2 linked regions of the Rhinolophus ferrumequinum genome follow. Each later gene encodes a partner of the first gene's protein in a complex. Links are inferred from orthologs where the notes say so. Each region holds a gene or a part of one and is shown on either strand. Other genes may lie near its edges.

Region 1 (10,227 bases):
TTCATTTCTAGTTTACAAAGATGTGAATTCTAAACTGTCCCTTTAAAAGCAAGCTGACAAAGCAAATCGTTTTAAAATTAATTACATGGATTTATTTACATAAGGTTTCTGTATGTTTTTACTTGTGAGAATCAAAAATAAAAATTGAAATCGCAAGTTTTCTATCAATAATAGGAAAATATATATTATCATTAAAAGTAAAACTCCACTAACTAAAGATTTGAAAGCAGTGGACACAAACGTCCTCAGCCTGGGAGTCACATGATTATCTGTTAAATTCAGTCCTTCACTGACTCAGACAAGTCTTTCCTCTAAGATATGATTATTATTAAAATACACCTTCCTAAATAAATGAGCTGAGTAGAAAAATACATTACAAACAATGTTATTCCTTTCAAACAGATTAAAAATATAAAACCTTTCACAGCATGAAAATGTCTATGAAAAACAAATTATTTGGAAGAAACACACCCAACATAACTTAAATGTAATATAGTTTCCCTAATTCATTGTGTAAACAGTTCAAATAAGGCTCACATTAGCTAATCTAACAAAATAATCAAGGGAAAAAAAGGTTCTTGGGGCATTTCTGTATTCTCCAAATCAGAAGCAAATATAAAATGACTTTTAGTATTTCACAAGACTATCCATTTTTTCCTTTTAACTAATTGTTCTCTGCAAACATTATATAGTTTTCTCTTCATGTTTTTTAAATATAATGTCAATTCTAACTAAAACATCTCATCCATAAACAAAATGGTCAGAATTGTTAAAAACAAATGACTAGAAATACAGCTTTAATCTTGTTATAAAGCTAATTAAATTTCACTGAAAGGTATTGTTGTATATCAGAATCTTGAAATTTTTAATAGTATAACTTTTAAATTTATAATAAACTATGTCTGATGACATAATGCAAATTTTTTTATAGTTTAATCTATAAAGCCTATTTTTATAAAGCTTAACAAACCCCCAATTTGGTAAAAATCCTTTAATTATCTTCTAACTGCCATCTCCTCACTCTACAGTCAAGGGCTGTGACACATGCAATGTCCATGTTAGGATTACCAAAGATCTGAATTTTGTCAATGCCGAATACTGGACACCAGTGTAACGTTTTCATGTATTTAATTCTCTTACTAATAAATACGATTCACAATAATTTAAGCTTTAAATAACATTCAACCTTACATCTGCTTGTAATAGAGCTCAGTTATTATTTGTGGCAAGAATTTTGTGACTGTACTGCTCAGCACTATTTACATCAGCAGTGCTAAATGCCCAATGGTGAGAGGGGAGCCAATCAGATGGCAGATTAGATGTCAACTCAGAGGCAGCTGTCTGGAGACTATTACAGCCAGTTTACCTCCACAATTCAAATTCCAAACCTTGCAAAGGAGATCAAGTCAGTCTTTAGGCTCAGCCTACGAGCAAGAAGCGGCAAGAGTGCAGGACACTTCCTAATAACGCTGCGGGACTTGGGTGACAGCAAATTAAAGAAAATCCTTATAAATCCTATCCAAAATGATCAATTTTCACTGACCTGCTATTTTCCTGGACTTGCTGAATAAAATGTATGCCAAATCCATGATCAAAATAAGTTCAATGTAACCGGACTGTGTTCCTTTAACATAGCCTATCTGTTGAAGGTGACTCCTTCCAAGCAGCCCGTAAGCCAAATAATGGATTTCCTGGCTCTTCTTAGGAATGAATCGATATATTTTAGAATATTTCACCTCACATCGTTGTACATTTGGGTATTATTTTTGCTAGTAAATATTCCAACTCAAAGCCCGCATCGAATTATCTCTGAATGGCTGGGCATAACTCCGAAAACCACACTCGGTTACCACAAAGCTAACCTATTTTTCCTGCCTTCACCTTGGAAGCCGAAAGAGAACGTGGTGTGGCTGGAGGTAGGACAAAGTTCCTCGTTCTTTTCCCAGTTAATGCTTATTGTTGGCGCTAACCGAGAAGACGAGGTTAATATTCTTGCCCAGACCACAGTGGCCGGAGCGCCGGTCTGGTTACAAAAGCCGCCGGACCGTCCCCAGCGCCCACACGGCTGGCTGGCGGCGCAGTCCCCGACTCCGGCACGCGCGGCTCGGGCCTGGGGTGGGGTGGCGAGGCGGGGTGCTCGGCCGCCGGCAGTGCCAGCGCCCGGCCCGGCCCTCGGCCAGACCCCCTCGCCAGGCCCCCGGGCCGCGCACTCGAACACCGTGCGCTCCCCAGACTCTAAGGGAGGCGTCCACCACTTAAAATGGCTTTGGGCGCCTCACCCCCACCTCCCCCGACAGAAGACGCAGAAAAAGTACGCGGAAAGAAAGAAACTAGGGCTCGCGGCGCGCGCCGAGGCCGCGGCGGAAGCAGGCCCGGCCGGCGCGGGGGTTACCTGGGATCTGCCCATGGTGGGGCCAGGGGTGCCGGGACTCATCGCCGGGTGGCTCCTTTGTTGCGCGGCCGCCCAGGCCGGGCTGGCGGCGGCGTACTGGGCACCCATGTCCTTGCCCAAGCCCATGCCCGCGGCCGCCTGCTGGCCGCCCGCCGCCGCCCCCGCCGCCGCCGCCTGGGACTGGGGCTGCGACGGCGGCGGCGGCGGCGCGCTGGGGCTGCTGTAGTCGGGGTAGCTGCCGCCGTAGCTCCTCATCATGGGGCTGGGCGAGGTGAGCAGCTGGTTGAGGGTCGGGGTGGCCCCCGACGGGTGCTGGTTCTGCCCGGCGAAGCGCTGGAAGCCCCCCGCCGCCGCGCCGGCGGCCGCCTTGCTGAGGCTCGCGGCCCCGCCGCCCCCGGGGCCCATCATCATGCCGCCGCCCTGCTGCCGGGGGGAGCTCAGCACCCCGTACCCCGAGGACGAGCCCCCATAGCCGCCGCCGCCGCCGCCGCCGCCTCCTGCTGCTGCTGCTGCTGCCGCCGCCGCGGCCGCCGCCGCCACAGCTCCCGCTCCCGCTCCCGCTCCTCCTCCTCCTCCTCCTCCTCCTCCTCCTCCGCTGCCTCCTCCTCCTCCGCCGCCGCCGCCGCCGCCGCCCGCGCCGGGCCGGCTGTAGCCCGGATAATGGTTGTACTGGCTGTTGGGGTACCCTTCATGGGAGTTCTGCAGGGGGTCCATGCTGTTGGGGGCTCCGGCGGCGGCTGAGGCGGAGTGCATCATCCCCATCCCGGGGCTTTGTTGTCCGCCATGTTGATCAAAGCAAGGCCCAGCGCGGCCGCCGGGGCCGCCGCTAGCAGGGGCAGCGCTGCCATAGTAATTATTAAACTCCGAGACGGCTGCGGGGCCGCCGCCGCCGCCCCCGGGCACGGCCACCGGCGGCTGCTGCGCGCCCAGGGTGCCCAGGCCCGGGTGCTCGTACCGGCCGCACGCCGGCTCCCCCATCTTGGGCGGTGCGTCGTCCTCGTCGCCCGGCTTGCTCAGCAGAGGCTGGCCAGGGGGGTCAGCCTGGCCGCCCGCGGCACTGTCCTTGGCGCCTCCATGTTGCGGCTGCTCCATGTCGGGACCGGGCTGAGCCGCGCCGCCGCCCGCGTTGCCGAGGCTGCTGTTGTTGGAAATGGGATGTTGCTGCTGCTGCTGCTGCTGTTGCTGCTGCTGCTGCTGTTGCTGCTGCTGCTGCTGGAACTGGTTTAGCTGCTGCTGTAATGCGTGGTGGTGGTGGTGGAGGTGGTGGGCATGGTGGTGCTGGTGGTGGGCATGGTGGTGCTGGTGGTGCTGCTGGTGGGGCGGTGCGGAGGGGGCTTCGCCAACGGTTTTCAGTTTGTGGTTGGGGAGCAGCCCCGTCTCCATGGCCGAGCTCGGGCCCGACGAGGAGGAAGAGGAGGACGCCGCGGAGGAGGAGGAGGACAGCGCGGCGGCGCTTCCACCCTCCTTGAGAGCCGCCTCGGATCCGCCGCTCTTGGCGCTGTTAGTGCTGGCGGCAGCGGCCGCCGCGCTCGAGTTATGGGCCATGTTCAGTTCGTGACGGGGGTGCAGGGGGTGGTGGTGCACACTGTTCAGGCTGCCGCCGTCGCCGCCGCCGCCGCCGCCGCCCCCCAGCGTGGGTCCCGGTGCCGCCGCCGCCGCGCCGCGCGCCCCCGTCTCCAGGTCCCGGACCCCGGGCGCCGGCCGCGGCCCGGGGGGCGCCCGCCGCTCGCCGCTGCCCGCCCGCGCCCGCGCCGCCGCTGCCGCTGTTGCCCGCGCGGCCATGATCGCCGCGGCGTGGCGAGGCCGGGCGGGGGGCGGGGGGAGACAATAAAACCCACTTTTTAGTCCGCGGCCCCTCCTGTGCGCATCCACACGCCCCGACGGGGATCGAGTGAGCCCCCTCCCCCTCCACAGGCCCCGCCGGAGCCGAACCGGGAGTCACGCCTTACGGTCTGGGCCTGTTCCCGCTGTGTGATTTCATGGTGAAAGTTTTGAGTTCAGGTTTAAATGAAACTTTTCTCTTTTCCTCTCTAACCCGGATATGGGTAAATACACGACTGGTTGAGCCTATTGGGCCCAGCATGGCATGAGAGGGAGCCGAGCGAGCCCGAGCAACTATTATCCACTTCTCTCTGATTACTCGTGTGCACTCGCAAAACGTGGACTGGACTCGGTGGGCCGCCGCCGCCCGCCGGGCCCTGCGCCCGCCGCCCGCCCGCCTGGGCGCAGCCTCCCGGGCACCCGGCGGGCCCGGGCCCTAGGGCTTGGGCCCGCTCCGCAGGCGCCCGGAGCGCGGCGGCGTGGGGCGGATGAAGGCTGCACTTTCCCCCTCGTGCCTCCGTCTCCTTGCCAACCGGGCGTTCGCGTGTTTGTTTTCACGTCTAAAAGGAACGATACAAAGGTGGAAAACGAGTCTGACGAGCAGACAAAAGAGGGAGAAGGGCTGGGGAACAAAGTTGTCTGTTGGCCTCAAAGGTTACGTACGAGGAGCCGACGGAGAAAGAAAATATTTGGGCAATCGGTGCAAAAGGACTGTCTCTCCCAGGAGTTACGTAATTTTTCAGTGTTAGCCTCTGTGCCTTGATTTCGGGCCATCAGCATAATTCCCACTTCTTCAAACTGCAAAATTAGGAGAGTTTAAGTGATCCTTAGCCGAATCGGAGGAGCACTGTGCTCTGTACACAGCAAGTACTCAATAAATGCTTATGATTGACTGCACCTGCCCCAAAGATAATGTTGATATAACTATATTTTAAGCGTCCTTATATATGTATGTAGGCTTATCAGTGAAAACTCAAAGTATTCCCAAAGGAGCGTCTTTCTTACAATGCACTTGTCCTCTCTAAAAGGAAAGTATGAAGAGTTGTGTGTTATGCTCCAAACAACTTACACATGGAAATTTTAACGGTCATAAATAGCAACAGCTAAGGTTTATCCCATAACTTCATAAACCTATATGATGCTTTTCACCATATTTCAGAGGTTAATGTGCTCAATTAACCCTTTTGATATGAGTTCGTTTCTAGGCAATTGGAAACAAAACTAAAAGAAATACATGTTATGTTTAATAAACATAAGATCAAACATAATATAAATTGGTCATATCTAATCCTAGAGTAGAAATGTTTCATACTTTGTTCTTTAAAAAGTACTATCTATTGTTTTATCACTTTATGATGTCTTAAGTGTTTTTATTGTTAATTTATCACCTAGTAACACCTTGAATTGCTTCAATAGCAGGAATTCTTAACCTAAGCAATGGCTCAGTTGTACTAGTGTGGACTCAGTTTTCGTGGAGAGAAAGCATTTGAAACCAGAGCTTTGATGAGGTCTCCCTAGCTGAAATATATATGATTTTGGTAGAATGTAGTTTTCTAAAATGATTGCATTCTTCAGCTTTTCAAAAAGACCATTTTAGTTTATTTCAAGTGCAGTAGTTATTTTTGTTTGCTTGACCAAGTGTCAATATGTTATGTGACTAAATAGAAAAGGATAGATGGGAAAAACAGGTGACTAATGGGGGGAGGGAATCAAATGCACACCCAAGGGTCATTATATAGAGTATAGAAACAACAAATTGCAGTTCTATGCAAGCAGCTGGAAAACAGGGTTATATCATCCTGTGTAAGAGAATAACAGAACTGTAAGATGAATTCATGCCAAATCATTCATCAGTTTTTGCCAAGAGACTACTACATCTTTGTCAGTGGGCCTTTTTGACATTTTTCTTCTGATTTTCTCCCTTTATATATTCAAATACAGTACATACTAATTATATATACACATATATATGTGTATATATATGTATATATATAATACTACATAAGTTGAATTTTTAAGTTTTTCGTATGCAAATATAAATATATGTTTTGTGTATGTGTGTATATACATATATTCTAAAATGAATTACATATGTATGCATTTAGACATTTATAGTCAAACTAAATATATACATACAATCATAACAGTACATTTTTTCAAACCAATAAAATATATCCAAGTCAATTCATACAAGTGTAGCCATATTTCTGGCTTATTTTTAAAAACTAATTCTAAAAGGGAAAATGAGTCACCAAGTTCAGTTCTGGCCCATTTCTTAAAAATATTTCATATAGAAAAATGAAACCAAAAAAAGGTATATAAGTCAAAATCTCTTTTAATTCCATTTGCTTCAGCAAGTCATCTAGAAGATTGGAACCAAGAGGCTATGAAATAGAGGCCCCAGCACAATGAAATCAGTCTGCTATAAAAGGAGACACATGCCAGTTTGTCCTCCCCAATGGCAGATGCCACACCCTAAAGCAGACAGAAGGCACTGCAGTCTGTAAGAGAAGCACAACACAAAGCCGGCAGGACTTGGTTTTGTCTTTTAAACCACAGAGACTGCTAAAATACCTTTTAAAAAGCATCTTGCTGAAGATATTCAACCTATACTTTTCAAACACACCTCAGGAAAACAAAATCAAAGCCTCTTACAGTTTCATTTAAAAATCCAGGACTTAATAAACAAAACGGCAATTATTGGGGGCCTGTCAGAAAGTGATGAAATAGGTTCACATTTCACAAAAGCACAATTTGAACTATACATCATGATTTCTACTGTGTGGCTTGCTTCAATAATCATATATGGCAATTCAACATTTATATTTTAATTTAAAAAAAGGTAGTAAAAATCACCGCATTTATTTTTCGTAATGAATTCCTAATTTTTACACCTCTTGACTAAACTTCAAATCATGATGACAACTTTAATAAGTTTCTCCAGCCACAAGAAGCCGCAGAGGTGAAGGGCCGGAAGCTGCCGAGTGACGGTGCCTACAGCGGACCTCCCACCCACAGGTTGCCCCATGCCCTCGTGTGCAGCCAGAGGATTATCCGTTGTTTTGCTAAACATTACTTTTGGCTACAAAAAGGGTTTGGGGTTTGTTTGGCTTTTTTTAATTATATGAAAAATTAATATTCAAATACTGCTGCTTTTTGAAAAGTTTTAGGGCGCTGAATAAAGGACTGTTGGACTTGCCCACTTCAAGAGGATTGAGCCAGATGATAGTTTAAGAATGCCACAGTTCTGTTCTTTTTGCCTCATCAGAGCCCATCACACTGTTTGTTTTCAGATTAGTCCCCTTTTACTGTTCTGGTTATTTATTCGATAACTGAAACTATCACGATTCACTACCCATCATATTTCTCAGTATGCTTTACATAATTTGGAAGCAATTTAGAATAAAGCCCTGTCAAGGTTTTACAAATAAGAACTATTAAAGAATAAGGCTTTGGATACTTGCTTTCCTTTTAGATTTATGAGAAATGCGATGAATGGAGCTAATGGGATTTCCCTACTGATCTTGGTCAGGCACTTTAAAAAGCACTAAACAATTGTCCTTTTCACTTCTCTGATTTACTTTAGCAGTGAATAACTGAGTTAGTGCAAGATACGGGATATACATTTGATTTGAAACAACTATGCATATTAACAGTGGCCCATAACTTTGGGATGCAAAACAACTAGGATTTGAAAAAGATCTAGGCAACAGTAATTTAAAAAACTGGGGACTGATGATCAGTAGCACTATTGTACTTAGAAAGAATATAATAGTGGGGATAATAAAACTGATTGGGGAAAAACTACACTTACTCACAAAAAAAATTATCTAGAATCTATGACATGCCCTGAGAATAAAAAAGGTAAGTACTACCTTGATCCTGTTCTCAATAGGGGAGATAACCAATTACCCTAAAACATAATAAAGGCTGCCCTGAAACATCATGGAGGACGTGGCCAGTCAAGAAGCAGGCTCGGACTTCCCACCCAACAGCTTTCCCTGTGGCTGTGTCTTGTTGGCTGCCATCAGTGGACACCTCGCCGTAATCTTCAACCTCAGATGGCTCTAACATGCCCCTGGGAACCCACCATTGTTGGAGCTAGACTTCCAGAACCTTAGGTCAAAGTTAACATTAGACTGTTACAATTTCTCTCCAAAATCCCTAGAAAGATAGCAACGCCAGTGAAATAAATGAAGAAACACCTTACTACATTTTAGAACATTGTACTTTTTATCTTCTACCAGACTGTCCACATTTTGAATAATGTGTAATAAATATTTTTATTATAGCCTAGTTGAGAAATGTTCTGTAACTTAGACAAATGTGTGTTCAATGGCATTTCTTTCATTTTCTTCCCAGTATTGTCCTCATTCATTTTGCCTTCATGAGAATCACTTATTGAGTACCTATTAGTGTATTTCAATATTCTCTCCTATATCATGTCATATAATCACCTGTTCAGCTTCTGTCACTGATAACCCGCTGCTTGGAAAAAGGCACCTTATAGATAACTCCACTCTAGTTCCTCAGAAATATTAAACTTGGAAAGTAAACATATTTGAGGTCATGTATAATAATACAAAGGGAAGTCATTTGGACGACTAGTCACCTCAATTTTCTGGAAGCATTTCAGTGACTTATCTGAGGGCGTTCCGGGTTTTTTCATATGTGATTAATTGCTCCATAGTACATGTAAACTTCTAAAATAAAATTACTTTTCAAGCACAATAAATTGCAAACAACAATAACTCGTGTGTCGATGTATTCATTCATGGTTTTTATTTCACCTAGTTTATATTCAATTGCTTTATCCCTAATTCATTAAGAGAATCCATGGGCACCTTTACCAGTAAATTATTGACAGCTGTTGATTATTCTAGTAAGGAGCAAAGGACTTGGTTATATGCTTGGTTAAATATCAATTTCATTGAGGAATTTGCTTATCAATTCCTCTAAAAATGCCCAAGTTGTTAAACATAAATAATTTTTTTCTCTCCCGAACTTAAAGGAAATTTCCACATTGTGACATGTAACTATAGGACTTAAAATTTAGTGGGCTGTAGCTGCATCTCTGACCCTCAGATGTCTCCTCTAAAGCCGTACTTCTCTCTGTGGTGCTGGTGACCTGCTTTCTCATGGATCATGTGTGAAAGGCTTCCCTCCCAAAGCATGACCCACAAGGAGCAGCCGGGAAGGTGGCCTCCCCATTCATCCATTCTGTCCTTTGCAAGGCTCTGGCCACAACAGTGAGAAATAAAAAGGAACTTTCCACACTGAGTGTACCTGCTAGGCATTAATTAAATGATCACACTAATAAATGTGTCATTGTGCAGAGATAACATGCTCTGAAGGAAGAGACAGAATTCTATGAGGGAGATAAACGAAGAAGCCTGACGTAGGCTGGGGCCTGAGGGAAGGCTTCCCTGAGGAAATGTGGCGTGGGCTGAAAAGTGAGGAGAAACCAACCAGGGAAAGAAGGGAAAGGGTGTCCCAGGCAGCAGGATGCCTGACGGGCTGAGGAGCAGGGTGGGGCAGGCAGCCTGGAAAGGCTGTGGAGGTGGGGGGCCACCAGGCGAGGCCCAGAAGGCCCAATTCAATCCGGGTTTGTATTCCAAGAGCAGTGCAGAGTAACTGCAGCATTTAAGCAGGGGCTGACAGGATCGGATCTGGGTTGTCACAGGAGCCCACTGGCTGCTGGGAAGAGAGGTGGAGCCAGAGCCAACCGGAATTAGAATGGGGATCAGGTCCCAGGATGCCAGGCTCCGGCCTCAGACCAAATGAAGTCCTGGCCATCTTCATTTATTGAGGCTCCCAGTATATTATTATATTAAGAAATAATAAAACAGGATCATAAAATTAGTTTATTTTAATGTTTCCCTTTTTAAAAATGTATTCTACCTCAGAAATACAATTGCAAGTGTGCTTTTCACAGAAAAACTCTTAAGATTTATTTGTCTTTAATTAATTCATATGCCCTACAGACTGTGTGGTCTGTAAATAGATCGTAAATT
Region 2 (10,256 bases), on another chromosome or scaffold:
ACCTATGATTATGCGCTTTGACATCTCAGAAGTACCTTAGTTTTGCTCTTTCTCTTGCCCACATCCCAACCCCATATATATTTAGCTGTGACATTTATAGACTGTAATTTTTTTGAAGTGCTTCCAAATGAATTTCCGTCACTAGAAATCCGAACATCCCCTAATCTGACCCACTGCTTCTCAAAGCCTTTTACTGCAGGCTACTGGACTCCCTTTCTTTACGTGCTTCTAGAATCCTTCCATATGCCCAGATGCACTGTGTTTCTTACCTCTCCACCGGCCTGCCTTTTCCCTGAGGACAGTCCCACTGAAAGCTGCTTTTTCTCTCAGGGCCAGGAGGTGGGTAAGGTGGCCCTTCTGACCTTAGAGCATCTAGCAGCTGGGAATTTAAATATCCGGATATACAGCCCTTCACCTCTGTGTATCACCCGGGCCTCTAGTCCCTTGGCTTGTTCCTTCTCATCACCTGGAGACTTGATTTACCAGATCACAAGCTTCATCTCTACTCGGCTCCTGCCATCATTCTTTGTGACTTCAACTTCCATGCAGATAATCACCAACAAGGCAGTCCCCGCTTCATGCGCTCTGATACGCACACATCTAGTTACCACAGTCCATTAGTAAAACACCAGTTCCCCAACACCATGCTTCGACTTTCAGTCACCACCGTGTATTACCTGTGAGTGATTTGGGAAGGTCCAAACTCCACAGCTAACTCTAGTCCACACATCCTTATGTAAATAACAGATGGCTTCATGATCCTTTTTCCAAGTCTGTCAGTCATTGGTCATGGCACATCTGTTACTCAGCTCAGTTCACAACACAGCAGAGCTTGTGGTTGTGTTGTCTCCTTGTCTCCCAGTGATGTGATGTTTACAGAAATGGGCCAATAAAAGGGATTGGCCAGAAAAGAAAAGTGCATCAAAGAAATAAGAAGTGACGATGCTGGAAATGAGTTGAATGTGATTAGGACATTTGAAAATGACAACAGCAAAGCCTAGATAGGATGACCGCTATGCCTGGCTGATGGTACTGTAGGAACCACAGGGAGAAAAGCCAGTGAGCAGAAAAAGCAAGGTCAAGTCGTGTCAACATTTTTTTAGTTTAAATTGCTCTCAGAACAGAAACCCATGTATGTAGAGAAAGACCTTCCTCTTTGGATAGAAAACTGGAATAAAATAAAATTCCCAGTCTGGCTAGCGAGCACACAGGAGCCAAGTGCTGTAGTTGCCATGTTGAAAAAAAACTCATTACAAAGGGACTGAAAAACCACCTTTTCCTGCCAGTAAAGCTGCTTCTGTCACTTTATAAGTCGACGTGAATTAATATTGAGCTACCTGGGAAGCTGCTAGCTCCAGTCAGGGTGCTGCTGTGACTTCAGATGAGTGAGAGCAAGCAGTTGTGGCGAAAGGATGAAGATGTCCAGAGGAAGAGAAACTGGTAACAACTTCACTTTAAAGAAACTCTTGGAGATACTTTACAGCATTGAAAATGCAAAACAAAATGTTGGAAACTACCCAAGCTCAGAAAAAAAAGTATGACAACGTATCAAGATATAGAAAATATAAGTCATAGGATGGGCAGAAGGCAAGCACACTTCAAACTACTCTTGGAAAACTGTTTACAAAGAAAATAATTCTCAGTGTTTCTCATGTTCTAAATTGCAGTGTGCTCAGTACATGTAAGTTTCACAATCAAAAACATTCCATATACATTTATAATTGGCAGTAAGGGAGTTTGATGTTTTAACAAAAGTTTTTTTAAAGTCATAGAACAATTGCAATTTTTCTCTTTGATTCTTAAAATTGCTTTGCATGATTGTGGGTTCTGTGGTCATTCTTATAGTCCTGTGGCATCCGGCAAAGCTGGGACTCTAGCTTCTCAGTTCCTTGACTAACTCACGCTCAGTGACCTTTTCCTGTAGCTCACCTGGGTTCACCCTGTAGACCTTGTGATTATCAAAGTCAATTTGACCTCTGAACTTGCAATTCCAAGCAGGTTATTCTCATGCAATTATTTCCTGTCCTTCCTGCTCACCACTTGTAGTACCTGAAGACAGCCACTCTTCAATCTTATTGAAATCTCCAATTCATTACCTTCCCCCACTATTACTAGTCCTCTTCTTGTCCTTGGTCATCTCAGCTGTCATGGCCCATCAGTATAATCACTGCCTTACAAACACACTCCAGGTCCCTTTGCCTCTTTTCTTCACCTGGGAAAACCCCTTCCTGAATGGACCCTATTACCCACTTGACTAGCTTGAATTCAAGTAGCTAAACTTGACTGAGAACATTGGAAAACTAGACTGACTGGTTGCACTTTTAACTCATGACCCCAAACCTCCAGAGGGCAAACCACTTGGCATCCTGGAAACTGCTCTTCTACTGTCTACACCTTCTTTCTCCTCCAACTCTCTGTATCCCTCCTTCCCACTCGCTTTCAGCTGATGATCTCACCTCATACTTTATTAAGGAAAGAGAAAGTATCAGAGGAAAATCCTTCAGGTTTTCCACCAGCAAATCTCTAACCCTACTTCCATCTGCAGCCGCATTATGTGTCCCTTCTGTGCCGAGGGATGGACCAGCCCGCTCCCAGCAGCCGTGTCCTCTCTCTCCTGTCGCCATGACTCGCCCTCTTACTGAGTCATTCTTGTCGGCATGGTGCCTCCCATCTTCAAAACATGACCCACCCCTCTACCCTTTTTCTCTGCCATTACTCTTTGCAATCATACTGCTTCCTATACTCTGGCTACAGTCCCTAGCCTCCTATTGCTTCCTTAATTGACTTCAATCTAGTTTTGAAACTGCCACTCCACTGAAATAACCTTGAAGGAATTAAGGTTGCTCCTTATCCCCAAATTGCTAAACACAGCGGGCATTTCTCTGTCCCCTAACTCAACTTCTCAATTGACATAGTTGACCAGTCCCTCTTTTTGAAACACTAGCCTCGCAGCTTACGGTACTCAACTCTTAGTTTTCTTCCTTCTCTATTTCCATGTATGTCTCTGGATTTCTTGGTCTCTGGCCTTTTTCTCACCTGTATCTACATATTCTAAGTGGTCTCATACAGTTTTTTGCCTTTTTCTCTTTACCACTGTATTGCTAGTGCCTAACTCAGGGCCTAACTCGATAAATAGTAAGGTAGTATTTGATAAACAAATGAGTGAACACATGATTCTTTGTATTTCTATCACCTAACATACGGTAGTTCTTAGTTCATAGTTGGTTTCCATTAACTATTTGTGAAATAATTGAGTGGACATTATTCCAATCCTACAGATGAGGAAACAAGAGGGTCAGAGCATAAATAATGTATCCGTGATCACACAGCTAATCAGTGGCACAGCTGCCATTCAAACTAAAGTCTTATTTTCAAATCTTTGTTCTCGTCATTACATCATATTGCCTCCCTGCATATTTATCTCTAACTCCTAGACTCTGCCTTCATTTACCCTATTCTCAAGCCAAATTCAATGACTGATGTACCTGAATATGGCATGTGTCCTATTTTCCCAGCTCTCAGTCTTTTGGGGCTTGAGACCCTACTTCCAGTTCCAATTGTACATTTTCCTGTAGCTGTCCAACCAATCTCTTAGGATACTTTTCAAATTCCAAGTCAACCCTGACATCTTAATTTTTCTAGTTGCAAGTAAATTTTCTCCCACTTAAAGCTCCTTTTGTGTATTTGTATCCTATTCTTCCAGCATTGAAATACCTACAGGCAGCGATTGTAATCCACATAGTGACTCCTTAATGTTCTGCCTTGCCTTGGTGGAAAGGCCAAATTCGTAATTGTTGATTTGGAATGAAGAGTTTTAAATTTTATTTGAGCTAGAGACAGAATTCCCAAGGGAGAAGAGTAGAACCGAAAAACAATATATATATATATACATTAAATTCTCCAGAGAGTCTGACTGAGAGCCTTCATCAATTAAGAGAATTTGGAGAAAGATGCTGATTCTTGGCCGATCAAGACACTGAAGGGTCATTTTCTGTAGTGGACTCTTGGTAGTGAAATGGGGAATTGAGAAAGCAAAGTCTAGATTAGGAGCAGTCTGTGAGACTGAAGTTGTTGTCGATGCCATTTGTGACCGGGTGCAAGTGGGGTCAGGAAAGGGTGGGCTCAGAGAGTCAAAGTAGGCTGTTTGTGCTATGTCATGGGCTAGAAGTAATCCCTTTGTTTTATGTTTCCAAACTTGTCCGCTGAGTGTAAGCAAAAATAATGAACGAAAAGGAAGCCATATTGAGCTCTAAATCCAAGAACATTCTCTATTGTCCCGAAACAAGTCTTGTACTTTCTAAGATAATAAAGTGTCTGCTGAGGGATCAACTTTAACAAATTTCTGGCACCCTTGTCATCTTATCACAGCTGTCTGCCATGTGTTGAGGTTCAGTTCCTGAGTTTTTAAAAAATTTTGGTGAAGTTGTAGACCTGACGGGGTGAAGCCTAAGAACTAGGATTAGGAGTAAACTCAGTTCCAATAAAACAGCTCCAATTTTCTTGGTGCCTTTCATGGGCCTATCATGTACTATGCATGCCCCTTACAATAATCCCGGAGACTCGGGTTTTTCTCCCCTTAACAGGTGGGAAAAGAGGTTAAATGAGTTGCCAAGGCTGGAATAAGCACCGGTGCCAGAAACCAAACATCAGTGTGGTTCCCAAACGTCCTGTGGCCTCTGCAGCAGTGTCCCCTGGCCGGTTGCCTTAGGAAGCTCCCTGCAGCCTCCTCGGAGCCACTGTCGGTCCTCGGTCCTCTACGGCAGGCCGTCCTGTTGTCTGTCATGCGAGCGCAGAGTCACACGCACGCAAGCTGAATTTCAGCAGCTTCTGCGGTTACTGGCTTCGGCCGCACTGAGGTGGACGTGATCAACTTTTCAAATGGAACCGGCTGCGGACGTCATTGGGTTGTGCACATGCACGGCAGGTGGTTCTGAGCAGCACAGCCAGGCTGAAGCGGAGGACAAAGGCAGGCGGGGCGGCCGCTGGGCAGGGGGCCGCGAGGCAGTGGGCAGGGACCTCTCAGCCCGCGGGACCCAGCGCACCGCGACCCGGCGTGGAGTGGGGGTCAGGACGCGGGACCCCGGGGGAGGGGGACGGGACCCCCGGGCACCGGGAGGGCGGGCGGGGCGGGGCGCGCGGCGGGCGCGGTGGGAGGAGAGGGCTGACGTGGAGGGGCCGGGCCGGGGGCGCGGGGAGGGCGGGGCCGGGCCGGGGGCGCGGCGGGAGGTGGGGCGGCGGAGCGCGGGGCTGCGGCGGGCGGGCGGGCGGGCCTGGGTGGCCGCGGCCCGGGGCGCGCGGGCTGAGGGAGCGGCGCGGCGGCGGCGGCTGCGGGCTGCGGGCTGCGGGAGCGGCGGGCCGAGGGCCGCGGGGCGGCTGAGGGCGGCGGGCGCGGGGGCCTCGGCCGGGGCCGAGGGCGGCCGGGCGGGCGGGCGGGCGGGCGGCGCGCGGCGCTGGCGGCGGCCATGGCGGTGGCGGCGGCGCTGGCGGGCCGCGGGGCGCGCGGCGGCAGGGGCCGGCCCCCGGGCGGCGGGCGGGCGGAGGGGGCGGGGCCCGGGCGGCGGGCGGCCCGCGCGGCGGCGGCGGCAGCGGCGGCGGCGGCCGGGACGAGGCGGCGGCGACGGCGGAGGCGGCGGCGCGGGGCGCTCGGGCTGATGGCGGCGGCGGCCGGCCCCGGGACGGCGCTGTCCCCGCGGCCGTGCGACAGCGACCCGGCCACCCCGGGAGCGCAGTCCCCGAAGGTGAGGAGGCGGCCGCTGGGCGAGCGAGCGGGCGGGCTGGACGCGGGGCCGGGGCGGGGGCCTGGGAGGCGCGGAGGCCGCAGCCTCGGACAGCGGCCGGGCCCCCGGTGCGCAGCCGGGACGGCCGCGGCCTGTTCCGCTTCCGCATCCTCCGCGCGTCGCGGCTCGTTTATAACCGCCGAGCGGCCGCCGGGCCGCGGCGGACACGGAAGTCAGGGAACTGGGCCGTCCGTGGGCCCGACACGCCGCGGGCCCCGAGCGCGCCCCGGGAGTTGTGAGGAGCGGCGGGGAAACGCGGCCCCTGGACACTCGGCGTCCTGGCGACTCCGCGGCGGCCCGAGAAGACGCCGTACTTGGCGGCGTCCGGACGTAACCGGACTTGGTGTCCCGGAGGCGACGCCGAGTGGACGAGACCACCAGGGGCCGCGGGACGCCGTGCGGTGCTGCGTGCTGGGACCAAGTTTGTAGTTTGTGACACAGGTTGGAACGGAGGCGTAATTTTAAGAACCTCAAGCCTTAAGTTGTTGAAAAGTTGAAATTAGATCCTGGGAGAGGACATTTGCGATGGATCCACCTCTTTCCTGAAGGACCGTGTCGCCGGGACCCGGGAAGGGTTTCGCTGGCGGGAGCGAGGCCGCCCTGCCCCGCGGCGCCCGCGCCCCGCGGTGGAGCGACGAGCCTGAGCCGCGCGCGGCGCGCAGCCTTGGAGCGGCTGGAGCCCGTCCCGGCTGCGGCGCTCGGGCCTGAAGCACCGGTGTGGAGAGACACTTAGGGGTGGACCACCTGTGACTCAGGGGCAAATGTCTGACCTAGTCAGGTGGCAGTCCTCAGACGTGGACTTTAGTGTCCCCATTTCTTAGCCAAGGGAAATGTACTTAAACACGTGGACATAAAAATTCTTCAAGTGCTCAGAAGCAAGCAAAATAGCAACACGTGATACCCGGATGCTTAAAAGGCATCATGCCTGAAGTATTGAATATGAAATGGTTCAATTGTGATACTTACTGTTAAATGTACATTTTTGGAGAATATTTAGACAGTTCTCCACATCCGAGCTGGCTGCTTGCCTTAGGAATATACAGAGCTCTTCCCACTGAATGCTTATTTTATAAGAATCAAAAAGGAGAAGGAAAATATTCTGCATCTTTTACTTTTTGGGATAGAATCAGAGTAAATTCCTTACAGCTGGGCCATTGGAGACTTCTAAATTGTCGTCGTCATCATCATCATCATCATCGTCGTATTAACTAACTTTTATTGGGCTCTTAATTTTTTTCTGGATCTTGCTTTTAAGTGCTTCCCATCTAGTAACTAATTTAATCCTTGTATTAGCCAAGCAACACAGGCACTATTCTCTCCATTTGACAGGTAAGGAGTGGCTCAAAGAGCATAACCGCTCAGCTAATGAAGGGCAGGGCCCAGACCCAGGCAGCCCAGCTTTGGCATGCCTGACCGACATGCCTTACTTACTACCTCTTTATCTTCTTCTGCAGGATGGCTTTGCTTTTAATACTTAGCAAGAGGACCCTGGTATTTAACGAAATTGTATTAATCTTAGTAAGCTACATTACTTTGATTTAAAACAATGTAAGCCTTCTAGTCATTAAGCCTTAGCTAATATGTAAATATATCAATTTCCTAACATTTGATACTTCACTCATTTCCTTAATGATCCAATTTACAGCCTTGATATTATAATCCCATAATGCATAATGTCACTTAAAAAATTTTAAGCCTCTCCTTTTTTGGGGGGGAGGGTTTTGCTTGATGACTATATAGATTGATGACTCTTATTAGGGTATATTATTGCTAAATGTTTACAATGTAAGAAAAAAATGGAACAAGACTGGTAATCTGTTTTTAGTCCTTGTATGTCTTTTCACAGGGATATAAGTACCTAAAATAGCCAATTAGTATAAACCAGGTGTGAGTCAAGTGAAACAGGAAATGATCCCTCCATATATTTTGTTCTTACCTGAGGTAAGAAGGTTTGCTCTAATTTTAGAGTTGCCGCAATTTTATGTTTGTTTAAACTAGAAGGCATTTTAACCTTAAGTGAGAAAGCAAAAGTAGATTTAGATTTATAGGTTAATTGAGTTTTTTACTTGTATGGAAGACCAGTTTTTAGTTTTTTCCAGGTCTTGCCCATGCCACATTCTGGGCTTCCTTTTAATTTTAATGGAAAGTTAGCATTTATATAACCAGCTGTGCTTAGAAAGTCTTCAAGTGCGCCTTTTAGCAAGTCTGAGAAGATACGTTCTTTACATATTAATCTTTCTCTTATTATTTTTTGAATCCTTTTAACGTATAGGATGATAACGAAGATAATTCAAATGATGGGACCCAACCATCCAAAAGGAGGCGAATGGGTTCAGGAGATAGCTCTAGGAGTTGTGAAACTTCAAGTCAAGATCTGGGGTACTGTCGTTTTATTGCTTAATAACATTTTTTGTGGTATGTTTCTCTTCTCTGCATTAGCTCTCCACTCCCCTCCCCCTAGCTCTAGTAAAAGCAGGTATCAAAAATTGTAGAATGTTTTTTCTCACATTTTACAGTATGACACCAAAGTTTGTTTTGCTTTCCATGCAATTGAGTGTTTTTTTTTTTTTAAGTTTTGCATAAAATTCACTATTTTAACTGTTTTTAAATGTGTAGTTCGGTGGCTTTAATTCATTCGTAATGTTGTGTATACCATCAGCACCATCCATTTCCAAAACTTTGTTGCTACTGAAAACAGAAACTCCACAACCATTAAGCACTAAAAATTCCCATTTCCCTCTTCCCTCAGCCCTGGCAATCACCACTTTACTGTTTGTCATTATGAATTTGCCTATTCTAGGTACCTTGTATAAGTGGAGTCATACAATATTTGTCATTTTGTGTCTGGCTTATTTCAGTTAGCATAATTCCTTCAAAGCTCATCCATGTTGTAGCATGTGTTAGAATTTTCTTCCTCTTTAAGGCTGAATTATACTCCATTGTATGGATGTACATTTGTTTATCCATTCGTCTGTTGATGGACACTTGGGTTGTTTCCACCTTTTGGATATTGTGAATCATGCTGCTGTGAATATTGGTGTATACATATCTGTTCAGAATCCCTGTTTTCTGTTCCTTTGGGTATACACCTAAGAGTGGAATAGCTGGATTATATGGTAATTTTATGTTTTCTACAGTCGCTGTGCCATTTTATATTCCTACCAGCATTGCACAAAGTTTCCAATTTCTTTCCATCCTTAGCAATTTGTTCTTTTCTGGTTTTTTTTTTTTTGTGTGTGTGTGTGTGTGATAGGAGTGAAGGGTCCAGTTTCATATTTTTGCGTTTGAATATCCAGTTTCCCAGCGCCATTTTTGAGAAAACTGTTCTTTTCGTTCGTTACTTTAAATTGGTTAGATATATGAAATAGTGTCACCTTCCTGCATCTATTACCCATTGATGAAATTTAGAGGTTGGATTGGTCCAGGTCCAGAAATTGGAGTCTTTGCTGTTCAGGATTGGGATTGATCTGGGATGCACTGGCACCATCAAACTGGGTCCATTCTTTGCTTCTGGGTTAATGGAGTCTGTCACAACACATAATTATGGTTTATAGTTTAATTCATTGGGAAATAGGTTTCTAGAGTTCTGCTTTCTCACCTTTGCGTGACTCACTGAACAGCAGATGGAGAACAAGTTACTTTAAACCCTGGTTGGATGAACTAGGGGCTATGGGTGTTACACCAAAAAGAAAGAATTCAGAACTGGTGTCACCACACTGTTTGGGCCTTAAAGGTCTGTTAAGCTAAAAAATGTCTGTTCCTAACAGTTGTGAGTGTTGGTTCTTTGTGGTATATAGAAAATGTTATTTCCATTGTACTTTTCTGTTTTGGCAGATGGTTTGTTTCTAGATGGTTTCCTTTCCTTCTACCTGTTTTGTAACTTCCTTTGATAACACATGAAATCGTGGGAAGTTTTTTGTATTGCAAAGTCATAGAAGACTGACTGAGAATTTAAGTAGTTAAAATAGTTTTTCAAAATCCTTAAATATCCTTAAAAATAAATATTCTCAAAAATAAAAATGATTAAAATTGAATAGAAGCTGCATAAAAGGCATAATATATATTTCTGTGCTTAGCTTTAGCTACTATCCAGCAGAAAATTTGATAGAGTACAAATGGCCACCTGATGAAACAGGAGAATACTATATGCTGCAAGAACAAGTCAGTGAATATCTGGGCGTGACCTCCTTTAAAAGGAAATATCCAGGTATTAAGTCTTAGTTTGTGTAACAGATTAAATCTAACTTTTAACTAATAGTTTTTCTTTTTCATAAGTTGTCAACCAATGAATATTTGAGTGTGGATTATTTATAATATATTTTACATTCTTCTGCCGCTTGATTTTCATTTACTCCTGTCATCCAACATCTCTCTTTACTATTAATTTGCTCTTTTGTCTTATAAATTGATTTGAAAAGAACATGAGGAAGATAGAGTTCCTGGGAGAAATTTTAGGAAAAAATCATTCTGTAGCTCTAT

What was found. Proteins that work in one complex are often made in the same cells at the same time.
Region 2: ARID1B (region 1) and PHF10 share a complex: the UniProt entries of both Homo sapiens proteins name them as parts of the neural progenitors-specific chromatin remodeling complex. The link is inferred for Rhinolophus ferrumequinum from reciprocal best matches to the Homo sapiens genes ARID1B and PHF10.

What each region holds. Positions count from the first base shown.
Region 1 is NC_046286.1:98,772,120-98,782,346, reverse strand, and holds the start of ARID1B (AT-rich interactive domain-containing protein 1B), read right to left. Parts: upstream 3,998-10,227; 5' UTR 3,938-3,997; coding exon 2,393-3,937; intron 1-2,392. UniProt on the Homo sapiens protein: Involved in transcriptional activation and repression of select genes by chromatin remodeling (alteration of DNA-nucleosome topology).
Region 2 is NW_022680354.1:2,534,130-2,544,385, reverse strand, and holds the start of PHF10 (PHD finger protein 10), read left to right. Parts: upstream 1-5,607; 5' UTR 5,608-5,651; coding exon 5,652-5,738; intron 5,739-6,468; exon of another isoform or gene 6,469-7,106; intron 7,107-8,049; coding exon 8,050-8,156; intron 8,157-9,853; coding exon 9,854-9,984; intron 9,985-10,256. UniProt on the Homo sapiens protein: Involved in transcription activity regulation by chromatin remodeling. Belongs to the neural progenitors-specific chromatin remodeling complex (npBAF complex) and is required for the proliferation of neural progenitors.